Linked DNA regions of Lonchura striata. The protein of the gene in region 2 purifies or fractionates together with the protein of the main gene of each other region. This does not show direct contact. Links are inferred from orthologs where the notes say so. Each region holds a gene or a part of one and is shown on either strand. Other genes may lie near its edges.

Region 1 (7,670 bases), on a different chromosome or scaffold from region 2:
CGGGCCCCCTGGGCCGGGGCTCACAGGGAGCAATTGGCCAAACTGGCCACTGAAAGCCAAACTAATACCAGAAATATTTACCACAAACAACACCATCTTTCCCTGAACCTCACTACACTTTCCCTTTGGTTTCAAGGGCTTGTCCCAGAGAACTCCAGGATATTAACGTGTCCATGTTAAAGGGATACTACAAAGAGAAAAGCCTGGCTGGACACATTAGAACTGAAATCTGAGTCAGACCAGGAGATGCTCTACTAAAGATGCAGAAAGAGCACCAAATTAAGCTCTCAAGACAACTACTAACTCCTGCAGTCTCAGCCTCTCGAAGATGCCTGCAGCAGGGTAGTAGAAGGCAACAATTAAGCACATACCAACTCTACCTGAGGGCTTCTGGCTTTCCCTCTCAAGAAATTTAATGCTGATTAAAAATCAAGTGGCCATTGGCCTGTCTCACACCCTGAGCGAGCCCACTACTAGCTAAAATTAGCTCATAGCAGTAGCTCAGTGCTAGGAAAAGAAAAGCCTCACTTGTCCAGAAAGTGCCCCTTAAAGAGCATAGATAAGAGAACAAAAGCTGCTCCACATTACAGACATACAGGAACAAAAACCTCGCCAACATTCCCTTCGCAGTTAGAGTAGCCTGTAACAGATGGGGCAGCAACAGAGGAGTCAGAGCAAAATTTAACAGCATCCTTTGCTCAAAATCTCTGCTCTTTTGGGATATTTCCTCTTAATGGGGTACCAGAATAGCTCACTGCTTCACACTTGACAAAAATCCAAGTGCTGCACCTCTCCCATTTTGTTTAGGAAATAGTACTCAGGTGTCTGTCCTCTCTTGCCCCTGTGCATATTCAGAGTCACTTCTCAGTCACATGTGAGGTTGTTCTCTTCAGCACAACCACCTCCTCTACAGAGAATTCTGAACCTCCTGAGAAAGGGAAACCTGTTCATGGCGAGTCCAAGGAGCTCTGGACACTTTATCCACACACTCTGCCTGAGCTTCAGCAAACTTCCCGAGTTCCCCTCAGCTGCTCAGAGAGGGGATTCACCTTGAACTTTGCCATTATAAAAGCACCAGATTGTGGCATAACTCCTTTATCCCAAAAGTGACTGCTTTTCAAATTAAACCCCCTCTCAACTTCACTTTCGACATGACTTGCAAGCACAGCCAAGAGAATAAACGTGCCCAACCACCAACCACTGCCCCTGTCTGACACACTTTTGAGCACAAGAGAAATAAACTTTTCCACTGTGAATCCAGGCTTAGTGACAGCAGACTTATTTTAGTTACTTATTTTTAAACCTTTTGGAAGTAATCCACAGAGTTGGTGAGCAAAAAGTCACTTCAGGGAGTAAATGGAAATTTTATTAGAACTGGTTATGAATAAAATAAAATTATATATATATATATATATATATATATATATATATATATATATATATGGCACAAATTCAGGGCTATGGTTTTTACTGTTCACGGACATTATAGTATTAAGGAGAGATAAATGCATTCAAAAGCAGTAACTGCTTTATCTGACAGTCCCCCATAGCCTTCTACTTCATCTCCCCACACAAATTCCATCGCTGGAGGATGGAAACAGCTGGATGAGTGTTAGAAGCCACCACGAACATGGGGGGATAGAGTAAAGGAAGCAATACAGCTCTCTTCCTTTTCCAGGGATTCCTCATGGCCCGGAAACTTTAACTTTTCAAAAGTCATATACAAACAAGCCCGAAAACTTTTAACTTTTTAAAAGTTATATACAAACAAAGCAGTACTGAATATTACTGTAGATTAAAGTGGTTTTCTCCTGTTAAGGGCTTGGCGAGCAGAGCCAGGAGGCTACAAAACGCAGCACAAGTACTGCAGCAGCCTCCCCAGAGCTCCCACGCTGCCTAAAACCCACGAGCACTAAGACAGACGGGGCTGGGGCCGGGCCGGGGCTCGCACGGAGCGGGCTCCCCGGGCTTGGGCTCGCACGGAGCGGGCCCCCCGGGCCGGGGCTCACACGGAGCGGGCTCCCCGGGCTTGGGCTCACACGGAGCGGGCCCCCCGGGCTTGGGCTCACACGGAGCGGGCTCCCCGGGCCGGGGCTCGCACGGAGCGGGCCCCCCGGGCCGGGGCTCGCACGGAGCGGGCCCCCCGGGCCGGGGCTCGCACGGAGCGGGCTCCCCGGGCCGGGGCTCGCACGGAGCGGGCCCCCCGGGCCGGGGCTCACACGGAGCGGGCCCCCCGGGCTTGGGCTCGCACGGAGCGGGCCCCCCGGGCTTGGGCTCACACGGAGCGGGCCCCCCGGGCCGGGGCTCGCACGGAGCGGGCCCCCCGGGCCGGGGCTCGCACGGAGCGGGCTCCCCGGGCCGGGGCTCGCACGGAGCGGGCCCCCCGGGCCGGGGCTCGCACGGAGCGAGCCCCCCGGGCTTGGGCTCGCACGGAGCGAGCCCCCCGGGCTTGGGCTCACACGGAGCGGGCCCCCCGGGCCGGGGCGCCGCCGGGGCCGGGCCGGGCGGCCCGCGGGCCCCTTCCCGCGGCGGCCCGGGCGCGGGACAGCGGCGGGCGCGCCCCGGGCCGCGGCGGGCGCAGCGCGGGGCCGGCGGCCGGCGGGCTCCGGCCGCGCTCGGGGCGGGCCCGCCCCGGGGAAGGGCCCCGCCCGCCCCGCCCCGTACCTCGGCTGTCGGCGGGCATCGGCGCGGCGGGGCCGCTCTCGGCGGCGGGCGGGAGCCGCTGCCCGGCACACATCGACTTCAGCACCTGGAACACGGCGAGCGGCGCCACGTTCATGCGGAGCAGGTCCAGCAACACCCTGCGAGGGGAACACCGGCAGCGGGAGCGCCTGTCAGACGGGGATCCGGCGTCACCGCCGGCTCCCGCGGCGGCGCCCCCACCGCTCACCGGAACACCTCCGGGTCCAGCCCGCTGCCCGCCGCCTGCGCCAGTTCGAACAGCTCCGCCTCCTCCGCGCTCAGCAGCTGCTTCCGCCGCAGCCGCGTCTCCGCCATCGGCGCCGGGGCCGCCATTGTCGCCGGTCCCTCCGACATGGCTGCGCGGTCCCGCCCCTGGCGGCCCCGCCCGTCACACCGGGCCGCGCCCCCTCGCAACGGGCCACGCCCCTCACACCGGGACACGCCCCCTCACACCGGGACACGCCCCCTCACACCGGGACACGCCCCCTCACACCGGGCCACGCCCCCTCACACCGGGCCACGCCCCTCACACCGGGCCGCGCCCCCTCACACCGGGACACGCCCCCTCACACCGGGACACGCCCCTCACACCGGGCCGCGCCCCCTCACACCGGGACACGCCCCCTCACACCGGGACACGCCCCTCACACCGGGCCGCGCCCCCTCAGTGTTCGGCAGTGGCTCAGTCCCCGCCGCTCCGGGCCTGTTGCTCCTGGCGCGGCCGGCAGGTGGCAGCAGCGCTCCAGCCGCGCCCCCGGCCGCGGGCCCCTGCCTGGAGCGGCCGCAGCGCCCGCGGGGTGACGGCGTGAGGTGAGAGGGGTGCGGTGTGTGAGGAGAGACGTGCGGTGTGCGGCGTGAGTTGTGAGGTGAGAGGGGTGAGGTGTGCACCGTGCGGTGTGAGGTGTACGGTGTGCAGTGCCCGGTGCCCGCTGTGCAGTGCCCCGTATCCGCCCCGCTGCCCCCCACGCGGTCTCCCCGCAGGCGCCTCCGCTCCAGGGCAGGGCAGAACCCAGCGGGATCCGCTGAGCACGAAGGGCAGTGCAGCAGTTTGGGGTGCGGAGGTGCCATGGGGACCCGCGGAGCTACAGAGCCCACGTCCTCACCCCAGCTGTCCCCTGGGCCGGGCGCCAGCTCCCTTGAACACGCTGCAGGCCCTGAGCCCAGAGAGCATCTGGGCATCATGCGGGAAAAAGCAGGAAATTTGGGTCTTGAGTCGCACCGTGGCGAAGAGCTGGCAAACTGAGATTGAAATCCCTCCTATCTAAATGGAAATGATCTGTTGCCATCAGGGAAGGATGGTCCAGCCCAGCACACACAGGCCCTGCAGCTGCGCTGTTAATGGGGAACAGAGCAGAGGGGTCACTGTGTCCCCCCAGCATTGCCATGACAGACCCCATCCCATCCCTACACCAAGCCACAGCAGACAGATGCTCCCACTCCACATCCCAAGCAACCTGTGAGTCTGTCAGGGTGCCCCAACCTTGTGACTTGATGGCCAGGCTGACAAACAGACATTTATGGCAGAAGCCAAGACAGGAATGACATGGATAATGATAGAAGGATCTTGCTCTTTATGGCCCAAAGCAGGACCAGCCCAGCAAGAACAATTATTGCTGTGTTTTGAGTGGGAGCAGCTGCTCCAGCATGAGTGACTGCACTGTCTGTGGGGTTGCCAATGCTGAAGCCACAGAGCCTAAGGTTGTCCCAACAGCTGGACTTTCAGAGGGACCCTCAGCTGAGCAGGGAGTGTAGAGTCTGTGATACAGGGGGACTGAAAAACACCCCTGTGCTTGATCTCTTGCCTGTTCTGGTATATGATGTGCCACTTCCTTTGGGACAGGCTGGTAGTCGAGTGCAAATGCCAAGCGCCCTCATTGTGTGGGTGATGCAGTCTCCAGACTTGGTCCCACATGGACAACCTCCCTCAGCCTGTGGCATGTGAGAGCTCAGCTACACCTCACAGCAGAAGAAAGTGAGATGCTTTTCAGCTCAGCCCTTCTCTTGGAACAAAACAAAACAAAACAAAAACAAACAAACAAAAAACAAAAAAAAACCCCCAACAAAACCAAAACCAAAAAAAAAAAAAAAAAGAGAGAGAGAAAACCAGGAACTGCCTTCTGTACAACAAACTGGAGAAGTTTCAGCATGTACCTCCCTCCTTCCCTGTCCATCTGTTCCAGCTGGCAGCTCTCCCTGTGTGCTGTGGTCACCAGCACAGGGCTGGAGACCTTCCCAGGGCAAAGGACAGGAGACTCTGTCCCTCACATGCTTCCTTCATAGGTCACAGCTGTGTCACACCTTCCCCGCATCTCGGTGTAAGCCTGGATGGGCCTAGTCTGCAACGTGGAGTGACAACCTTCTCCTCTGGACTTCAAGGTTTTCTCTGAAGCATTCCTGGGGGCTCCGTTATCTCAGTTTCTCCCTTTTGCTCTCCCAGTCCAACAGGTCAGTAGAGGAAGTCCTTGGGAAACTCCCCTGAGGAGGCCTCAGTTACTGGAGCTGCACTCTGGGTGGCACAGGGGACTCTGGCTTAAATGACACTGAGGAGGACCCTGGGTCTTGCAGCCCACCAGACACTCTCCATTGCCTCTGGCAGGACTTTAAAGCCCAACCACCACTCAGTCCATGGTTTCCAGAGCAGGATGAGCCAGGACAGCCCGGGATGCTGATGCCAGGCTGCATCTCAGCCCTTGCAGAACATGTTTAAGAGAGGGGCTGAGCAGATGGGGGCAAAGGAGGCTCCAACAGCCTGCATGAGCAGAAGGAAAAGAGAGCTAGGAGCAGCAGAGAGCCTGCAATCCTTGGAGTGAGTTACCAGAAAGAACTGCGGGTTGCTCAGACATGGCCCTAAATGGAGGCAAAGCGATGCTGAGCCTTCCCTGGGCACCAGGACACGCTGTGCACGGCCAGGGGAGCACACCAGGGCCAGGCTGTGCCTTGCAGAGGTAACTGCAGCGGGAGAAAGACTGGTGGTTGTGCAGGTCATCAAGCTGAGTGGGACAGGAAGGACAGAATGACTGAGGTACAATCACTGGCTGAGGACACACTGTCAGTGCATGAGATGAGGGTCAGCATGACACCAGGGAGGGAAGGAGCAAGGTCACCTCCCTATGAAAGAAGGGCCAGGCTTAAGAAAACCTGGATATGGTTCAAATCTCAAACAAATGCAGCAAATGTGCCTACCACATCCAGAAAATGGAAAAGAGGGATTCAAATGTATCTGGACTTTTCTATCTTTCTGAGGTTTTTTTGAAGGAAACCAGCTCCCAGATAGAAAAGCAAATGCAAACAGAATTTATCACAGATACATTGTTTCAGGATAAGGTAATGATTTATCTTTGATAATTAACTTTGACAAGGTGATGCAGAGCATTGTAGTAGAATGTGTCCCTGCCCATGAGAGAGGGCTGGAACAAGATGAGCTTTAAGGTGTCCTCCAACCCAAACCATTTTATGATTCTACGCTTTTATGATAATTTAGCCTGGTTACATTTAAGGAAGAAGTTTGATTTGCACCCAGTATGATGCAGTTTCCAATGCTGAAGTCATGGGTATGGATTTAACACGAGGAACCAGATAACCAAGTAAAACGCTGGGCTATGTTAAAGGGATGTCTCTGAGCAGCTTCCAGCACTGCTCCCCACCTCAGTTTTGGGATGCCCCCACTGATGTTAACAGCAAGAAGTGTAGGGCTGGTAGTGTAGAATCATCATGCCTGGGATGTTTTGGGGAGGGACACAGCCACACCACTAGCAAGGCACTAGGATGGTCTCACCTGGAAGATCATGGAATCCTAGGTTTGGGTCAGAAGGTCACCTAGTCCAACGTCCTATTGTGAGCAGGGACATCTTTACTTCGATCAGGTTGCTCCAAGCCCTGTCCAACCTGGCCTTGAACGTTTCCACACATAGGACTTCCACCACCTCTCTGAGCAACCTGCCTCAGGGTTTTACCACCCACACTGTAAAATACTTCTTGTATCTAATCTAAATCAGTGTTCCTTTTAGCTTAAACAATTTCCCCTTCTATGAGCCTGAGCATGGTGGTTTGAAGACAGGCCTGCAAAACTGTGCATGAAAAATGACAGAACTACTCAGAGGTGTAGACTCAAAATTAGGTGGAGGCATCCAAGCAGAGACATCTTAGGACAATTTCCAAACATGACACCAGGAGCAAGTAAGTGGTTTGGAAGGATGTTGGGAACCATTCTGAAGGGACTGAGTGACAGAATTCTCCAAGTCAGAAGTTGAAACTTGTCCTTTTGGGTCAAATATTTGGTCTTTAGGTAAAGATTAGAGTAGGCATTCAGCTGGGACATGTCTGTGCCACTGCACATGTGTGCTATGTATGTGCTACCCTGAACATTCCACTAGCAGCCTGAAGGCATCAGGAGCAAATTTCTCTCCTTTGCTCTAAACTTTGGCAGCTGAGCTGTTATCTGATCCTCCTGTAGATTGCTGTGGTTGGAGGCAAAACACAGCACACAGCATTCTCAGGGATACCCAAGTAACTTAAGCATCCCTGCTAGGGCTGGGATTTCAAACTAATCACTAGGCTTGGGCTTCAAGGAACTTCTCCAGGCCAGAGGGGCAGGAAGGGGGCATGGATAACACGGTGAGGGTTTAACTCAGTCCCACAAGGATCAGTTACTGGTTCTCTCCAACCTCTGAAGTACTAAGGAGCCTTGATGACCTGTGCTGGGATGGGTGATGCAAGGCTTGGCACTAGCCAAAGGGTTTAATTAGGGACAGAATTCAGTGAACACCCCACCTCCCCAGGTGGTCAGACTCCAATTCTGCCCTGTATCAGCCTTTTGTCCTTCTTGGTTGCCTCCATCCTGCAAAACTACATGTTTTCATAGAGTCATAGAATGGTGTTGGAAAGGACCTTAAAGCTCATCTTGTTCCAATCCCCTGCCATGGGCAGAGACACTTTCCACTCTCCCAGGCTGCTGCAAGTCCCATCCATCCTGGCCTGGAACACTTCAA
Region 2 (8,010 bases):
CTTTGTCACAAGTTAAGGAACATAATTGTAGGATACTGGTGATTAATACAAGCAACAGGAAGTTTCCCTTATTGAACAGAAGACAGATTGGCTACACAGTCTAAAGCACTGGACCTTGGAGGGACCTAGAAACAGAAACATAAGGCCATTTTCCAAGCTTTCATTAAGAAGCTCTTAAATTAACTACAGCCCTTACTTGCCAATACAAGACAGACAGCAATTTCTTTGATAGAAAAGACGAGAAAAATCTGCCAGGTATTATTTAAGAGCTCTTTACCACTAAGGCAGCTTATCCAGTCTACAATTCTGTTTCCCCACACCCCCAAGTATGAGCACCATTTATCACTAGTTCAAAGGAGTGTCTGTGGCTGTTAGCAGACTATGGATTTAAAGAATGGTCCTGGTCATGACAAATGTCAGACTACTTCACTACACAGTTTCTAGAGTACAAAGAGCAGTTGCCGGTTTCCCCGACTCTGTACTGAGAGAAGAAAAACAAAATCCCAAAAATAACCTGTTATGAATCCAAGTACTCCAAAGTAATAAGAACATTTATAGAATTACAGAGCAGGAAAACTGCATCTCCACCATCACCAAACAAACTGAGTAATCAGTCTTCTGGCCAATGCCCATTGTGACTTTGCATTAGCTCATTAAAGAATAACACAGGTTAATTGGCTGGATTTAACACAACAGAACCAGTAGGCAGAGTAGTGTTTGCTATTGCTGTCACTATTTTACGGCACGTTTGTATAATTTTACATAACTATGCGTAACCAGAACTAATGCTTTATCCTTAACAAGCTAACAAATATTCAGTGTTGGGAGATGAAGAGGAGACTTGATTAAAGCATGTTAAGACAGACTGTAGATAAAAGTTTACTAAACACATACTAGTGTGTATGCATACACATGAAAACATTACATCTGTGCTTCAAATTCTCTGCAAGCTCCATAGCTAAAACATTCATTTGTGTTCCAATTGGTGTAACCTTTTATTCTCATACGTTAACTTTGAGGACAGACATTCAGAACTTGCAGGACTCGTATGCTGTGTGCCAGCATCCTGGCCTCCTACGTCAAGATGAGACACCACCACCTTCTCCTGTGACAGCCACACAAGTCATTTACCTGACAGCCCACTGAAAGTTCTCATATCTTCATCTACCACTTGGCCCCTCGTATCATTATCCAAGACTTCCTTGGCTTCCAAGTCAGAGGTGAAAGACCTAAATGGGTCAGATCCATTTTGATGACAAACCACCACCACCCAGTGAATGTTTTCCTACACAACAATAGGTTTGTGTTTCCTCTCAAAATGCTTACAAAGAATAGAAAGAAAACCAGTGCTTAGAGGTAAATGAACACTATCAATGATTGTCAGAATCAACGAGAAGCTGTCCTATGGAAAAAAAAAAAATAATTATAATTTTCCTCACTATACTATGTATAGAATTTTACTACACCAGCAGTTGCTTTGCTCAAGCTTGTCAGTTAATTAGGCACCATCTTGAAAGCAAACATCATAATCAACTACTGAAGAAACAAATGTGTAAGGTTTACAGTTGGCAGGCAATTCAGGCACATTACAGCCATTAAAAAAGTGTGGGTTCCCGAGCTAAGAAACTTCTTCAGAATTATTTACCATCATGATCTCATTCTGTAAATCTCTTCAGCACAAGGAACCACAAAACTTTGGTCAAAACAGATACCAATATTTTTATGCAAGACTTCAAAATACATCAGGCCTGTGTTTTACAAACATTTCTGTAAAAAAAGGAAAGAAAAAGAAACAGTGGAATTTTGCAGAACACCCACAGAAATATGGCTGAAACTGTAAAGGATACTATTGCTGGCCCAGCACAGTGAACTGACTGGATGTGAGGGCGTATGTGGGTTGAACTGTTCCACCACAGTGAAAGATGAAGAATCCCATATTTTAATATCATCTCCTGATGATGCAAAACGTATGCCTTCTTGCATGGCTGCACCTGTTTTGGCAGAAATAAATTAATAAGTGAAAATACATAAAACTAAAAAATCAACCAGGCAACCTAACAATTCAAAATTACAATTTTAAAAGATACAGTTAAAGTTTTCTTGATAACTGCACCATTTATTTTGAGTTAAACAGTTAGTACCGTTCAGCTGCACACACAAACGAAAGCATCAGACACTCCAAGTTTTTGCTACTTAAACTCCGGAAGGAAACGCGTGGTTTCTTTCTCACAAAGCCAGGCCCTCTACGGCATGAAGAGACTAAAATGAAGCCTTTATCTCCACAGCTCACAGCTGCCTACCAGGAAGCCCTGAGTATCTGAAGGGCCCATTTCCCACCAGCAGATGGGGATATACAAACCAGAATCAAACTGTTGCAGGGCAAGGCGGGCAGTGCGGACCTAAAGGACTCACTTCAGCGTTCATCTCACTACTCCAAAGACATCCGAGAATCCTTTAAACTAAACCTTTGACAGCAGAATACAAGCGACAGCGAGTCACCTTACATCGCACCTTACAAAACATTACGAACCAAAAAGGCCAAGAGCATTGTACTGCTACTTATTTTGAGTGACACCTTTTAAGACTTCAAGCCAGGTTAACCGGTGCCTGGTTTGAAGCGCTGACTCTCAGCTTTTTACTCCTGATAATTTTAAACTATCAACAGACGAGGACTATAAACGTGAGCTTTCCCTTCAGCTGAGAACACAAACGCCCCTTGGCCAAAGCTTGCGGGACGCTTCACACAGCTTTAGGCCATTCATTCTTACTGCCGGGACTGTTAACACTCAAAACTGCACAAGAAGTTCAGGGTCCACATACGCCTTCAGTGGGCAGCAGCCCGCGGGGCCGCGCTGCCGCCTCACACAGAGCTCGCCTCCCGCCGCGGAGGCCGCGGGAGGAGCCGCCCGGCGCACCCCGCCCCTCGCCACCGCCCGGCCCCGGCCCCGGCCCGCTCCCGCGCTCTCCCCGCGGCACCGCGCACCTGGCCGGGCGGGCACCGGGCCGAGCCCGCGCTGCTCGCCCCGAGGCCCGGCCCAGCGCCGCCTGAGGGACGGGCCCGGCCCGGCTCCGGCTCCGCCCGCCCCGCCGGGCCCGGCTTGCCGCGCCGCGCCCGAGTTCACGCGCCCCGTCCCGGCAGCCCCCGCGCGCCGCTGCCCGCGCTACGGCGGCGCGGAGGGGCCGCGCGCGGGCGGGGCGGGGCGGGGCGGGCAGGGCGGGGGCCCGGCAGCGGCTGAAGGGCGGGGCGCGGGCCGCGCTGAGAACCCGCCGGAGCGGGCTGAGGGGCGCCGCCTCTGCCGCGTTTGGAGATTCCAGCGCTGAGCAAAAGGCGTCCGGCTGCATCTGGGGTCTCCGCACATCTGGGACACCGGGACATCACGGCGACAGAGCGCAATAAATGATAGCAGTTAATGCATCACTCCTGTAACAGCGAGTAATAGAGAACTGCGGCGTCTGTGTCCTGACTTGCAATAGAACTGTTACCCTGGTCATGCTGAAATTTACAGGAGGAGGGACTTTGTTGTTATTTTCATCCGGTAAAATAAAAGGTAGCAGTGCTTCGCGGTGATACATGTTTGCACTCCTGCTTTCTACCCCAAAACACAACAACATATACTAAATTCAAAGATATATTCCACGTGGAACTTTAACAAAATTTTCTGTAGAGATCTGCCTTTGAGCGAGGCTTCACCCTGTGTACCCTCAGAGCCAGTCGAGCTGAAATGCCTGATTTACTTTCCTTTTCTGATGGAGTCTTGATTTTCCAAGTTCATTTAATATCTAGTCTCTGGAAATGCACTCAGAATCAGGAGAAAATAAATCATGGCACTGTTACAAAAAATGCCATTATTTCCCTACAGCATTGAGGATCATGTCTTTATTGCATCTATTAATCCTCATTAACCAATCATTAGTTATAATTTATATCTTCAACCACCTGCCTTCTCAGCTGAGTGTTAAGGGATCCACAGCATTCCTGCAAGTTTTCTACTCTCGCTCCATTTTAGAGTCCTAATTTGCTACTAAACCTGTCATGTTTCACTTCTGAGCCCAGCACTTGTTATTCCATTCTAGCTTCAGTACAGAGAGAATCTAAAGCCTTTTCTTTACCACAGCCATATCCTTTGGCTTTTTTTCCTTATCTCCTCACAGTGGAGCATAATTGTTTTTACAGACAGATAGGAGAGCACCTGCCTGACAAGCCCTGAAGCCTTGAACAATTAACAATTTGGGGGATTTTAAGTAAACACGATCAGCATGTTTTCCTTCATTCTGTAACAGGCCCTCAGTTAAATCAATTTTTCCTGCTGGCAGGACCTTTGCTGGCATTTTTTTTATGCCAGTGCCTGTGCTGTGCTTGTTCTTGGTATTTGCAAGGAACCACTGGGACACGTTGGTGCATTCCATTTGTGGAAAGGATCACAGCTCTAAGCCCAACCATTAAAGCCAAAGTGGTGTTATTGCTGAAAGGCCATCGGTGCAAGGCAGAGCATTCCCAGCAATTGTGCAAGGCTGTAAAAGCAGTGGGAGTGTGAGCAATACACAGGTGAAGAGAGACAAAAATAGTTTATATAATATTTTAACTGTATTATTACGACTATTATTATTACAACTTTTTCCACATAGAAATATTCTTTCTTTTCCCGTAATAATTAGACCTGGATAACAATTCTTGGATTAGGCTAAGATTTCAATTATGCTAATACATTTTGCCTTTAAACATACATAGGTTTCCTCTTTGCCCATAAAAAAGTTTTTCATTGTAGAGGCAGTGACATTAGGTTCTGAAGGATAAGCCACAGAGTTCCAGGGAATAAGAGCAGTCAGGACACTAGGGAAAAAAAGACATTAATTTCTTTATGGTTATAATAATTTTTTAGAGTGGTTTGGAAACCACTTAAAAGTTGGTATTATCCCATTTGGTAGTGGAACCATAGGAATGTGATAATGGGATAGAGATAACTAATACATTATATGATGATAAAATATATACAGTAATTTCATATGATAGACAGGATCTTGACTTTCTCTGCTAGCTCTGCTGTATAGTAGCTGTATGATGCCAGAATTCACAGGGAATGAAGAAATCATCACTGCCAAAAAGCAAGGAGCTTTGCCTAGGGCATTGAAATTTTTAGGTGGTTGCTGAAATGTACTTTTCAACTCTGAATGTCTGGCCAGGAGCTAAACCAGCCCTGTAGGTGCTCTGTGTTTTCAGAGACTTTCACCCTCCACACAGAACTATAGGGCTGGCTCAGTCAGCTCATGATTATTTTGTAGGTAGCGCATCTGGTTCCACACCGAGTTTTGGTGCCATTTGCTTCAGCACAGCCTTTCTTTTTTTTCTTTGCACATTAAGTAGAATCCTAAATCATGCTGAGATGGTAGATAAATGAGAATAATTCTAATTAGCTCTGGGGTTTCAAAGTAGAAAATTAAATTGCAGTGGTAAATATTTGACTTCAGCACTTGCCTCTGGACCCTTTCACCCACTCTGTTTAAAAGATTAACCTATGCTTCATATTTTCACTTTTCTCATTTAATGATGTTCTCAGTATCTTTAACTCAAAGAAAACCTTTGGCAAGCATAAATGCATCTCTCTGCTGGTTTAATTAGTTCAGCATATTAGCCAACAATTAATTCTAACTCCATCATTATTCTTTTAAAGAATCTTCCTTCTCGGATTTCACTGAAATGGACTGGAAACAAATGATTGTTCCATTACAGTGTGTCTCAACTGAATAATAATATAAATAGCCTTCCTCTTTCATTCAAGGATCTGAAAATATTTTCCAAATGTTGTTGCAGAAAACTTAAAATCCCTCACTGATGAGGGGATTACTGTTATCTTCAGATAAAGAAACTGAGGCATAGTGAGGGTAATTACTAGGATTATTTTGTTAGATTGATGTCATCCAGAAAATGAATATATACTTTGGACAACAAAAAATTGTGAATTGTAGCAGAGCTGTAGTGGAATTTAAAAACCAGTCACATGCAATTGGATAAATCTGTGTGAAATTACTGATTTCCACATCATAAAATTAATTTAACCAGAAATAATTTCAAGTTACTGTATATTTGTAGGCATGAGAAATCCTGTGAATGCCTTGAATGTAGAACATCTTTCAAGGCACCAATATAATTTAAAACTATATTGAAAGAGTATTTGAAAACTGAAATATTCTAAAATCCATTCAGACCTTTCACTGTTAAGCTCCCTGTTCAAATTCAATTTGAGGTCCAGCATGCTCTTGATGATAAAATTTTTAATTACAGGACCAGAAGCTGTTTTTTTTCTCAGTGTTTTTGCTTCATTCAGTTCACATAACAGAAAATACTGAAATATTTTTAAAACCCCAAACACCTCCTTTTACTATAGGTCTTTCTTGTCCCACACTTGATGGGATGGACTGAAGATAAAATGTCATTGTTTTCAGAATCTTTCAATTTCTCCCCAAAGTGTGCTTTCTCTCTATTTTTTTTTCTCTCTCTCTTCCCTTGCCCCATCCCTCGATTTATTAGATAGAGAAGCACTATCCATTCCTTCCACAGATGTAGAATGGAGAAATATTTCAGTTAAAATTTGAAAATAATTGGTAAACATGCCAGGGGTTCAAAGCTGTCAATAGTAGCTCTTTGGCATTGTTGTATGGGGCAGATCATAGAGAGGAACTTCCCATAGCAGGAAGATCTTCCCTTACAAAGTGAAATCTTCCTTCCTCCTCTTCCTTTTTAATTTTGGAAACAGTGACACAAGTAGATTCTATACAAATCTAATTCAGCATGGTGTTGACACAAATCTATTGTGCTTTCACATATTGAAGGCTTTAGTCTCCATTTACTGCTAAGGACAAAAACCTCACCCAACTACTGCAATACATAACCAAGAAACAATTTGCTTTGCAATTGCTTTTATACTTTTTTTTTCTGTGTGATTACTGGAGACATTCAGGTATGAGCTTCCCTCCCTACAAGCAGTTTTTAACTAAAGAGTTTAATTATATGCTAAAAGAAAAATGTTTTCTCCAATGTTTCTTCTAAAACCTGCATTGAATATTTTATCTTGTGTTTATAAGAATAAAATCTGCTGCTATGGATACAGTGAGGTCAACATTTTAATGTTATTATTTCACTGTGCTGTGTGTTAAAGGATAATATTCTTCTTTAAAACAAAAATCTCAGAAAATATGTATTATAGGAAAGTAAGTATAGTAATGTATTTTAAATGAATAGGTAAAGGCTTTTATTTAATATTTCTCTTTCAAGTATAGGAAATATAACAAGGTCCAAACAGGCAGCACTGAAAAAACACATTGTCTGTAATAGAACTTCTCTTCCATTTTCACCTGATGCTATAGCATGTTTTACAAATATTAATTAAGCTGTATAAAAGTCCTAAGATAATCCTCAAGGTGACCCCCCCCCCAAAAAAAAAAAAAAAAAGATAGATTTTTAGTTTGTTCAAAACACAACAAAAGACAGAACACCTTGTTGGTTTGTTTTGTAAAAGCTGTAATTTCCTACTTGTTCCTTGTAAAAGAAAAATGAGTAATGTCAATTTTTATCTTTCTTGCTTTTTGAAAAACTGCAGAATAATAAATTATTTTAACGAAAGAATAATGCTAAGGAGTGTCTCCTCCAAACTGGCTGTTAGGCAGTCAAGTTAAATAAACATACTAACTCAGTTTTTAAATTGTCTTGCAAAAATAACTGCCCTATCAATTACTCACTTTTCCCTTTCTTTACACCACTGTATCATTATCCTTCTAATTTTCCTACTACCTACAGCATTCCAGAAAAGTGTACACAAAATAAAAAACAGCTCACCTTTTAAACAGCTACACATAATGCAAATACATCCAGTCTTCTTTTTTTTTTATAGGACCAAAGAGAAATAGGAGAGAACTTTTTTTCCCTTTCTTCCTGCACTGATCACATTTAGGATACTCATTATTCAGAATTTTACCTCTCTCTCCCTCTTCCTCCCAAAAAGAAACTCAACCAGA

What was found.
Region 1: the proteins of NEDD1 (region 2) and mitotic-spindle organizing protein 2B purify together in Homo sapiens (affinity purification with mass spectrometry; 3 studies listed by BioGRID and IntAct, with this or other methods). This does not show direct contact. The link is inferred for Lonchura striata from reciprocal best matches to the Homo sapiens genes NEDD1 and MZT2B.

What each region holds. Positions count from the first base shown.
Region 1 is NC_134613.1:7,856,385-7,864,054, reverse strand, and holds the start of mitotic-spindle organizing protein 2B, read right to left. Parts: upstream 3,070-7,670; 5' UTR 3,037-3,069; coding exon 2,891-3,036; intron 2,802-2,890; coding exon 2,665-2,801; intron 1-2,664. UniProt on the Homo sapiens protein: Required for the recruitment and the assembly of the gamma-tubulin ring complex (gTuRC) at the centrosome.
Region 2 is NC_134607.1:54,833,408-54,841,417, reverse strand, and holds the start of NEDD1 (protein NEDD1), read right to left. Parts: upstream 3,078-8,010; 5' UTR 2,984-3,077; intron 2,843-2,983; exon of another isoform or gene 2,821-2,842; intron 1,992-2,820; 5' UTR 1,984-1,991; coding exon 1,848-1,983; intron 1-1,847. UniProt on the Homo sapiens protein: Required for mitosis progression. Promotes the nucleation of microtubules from the spindle.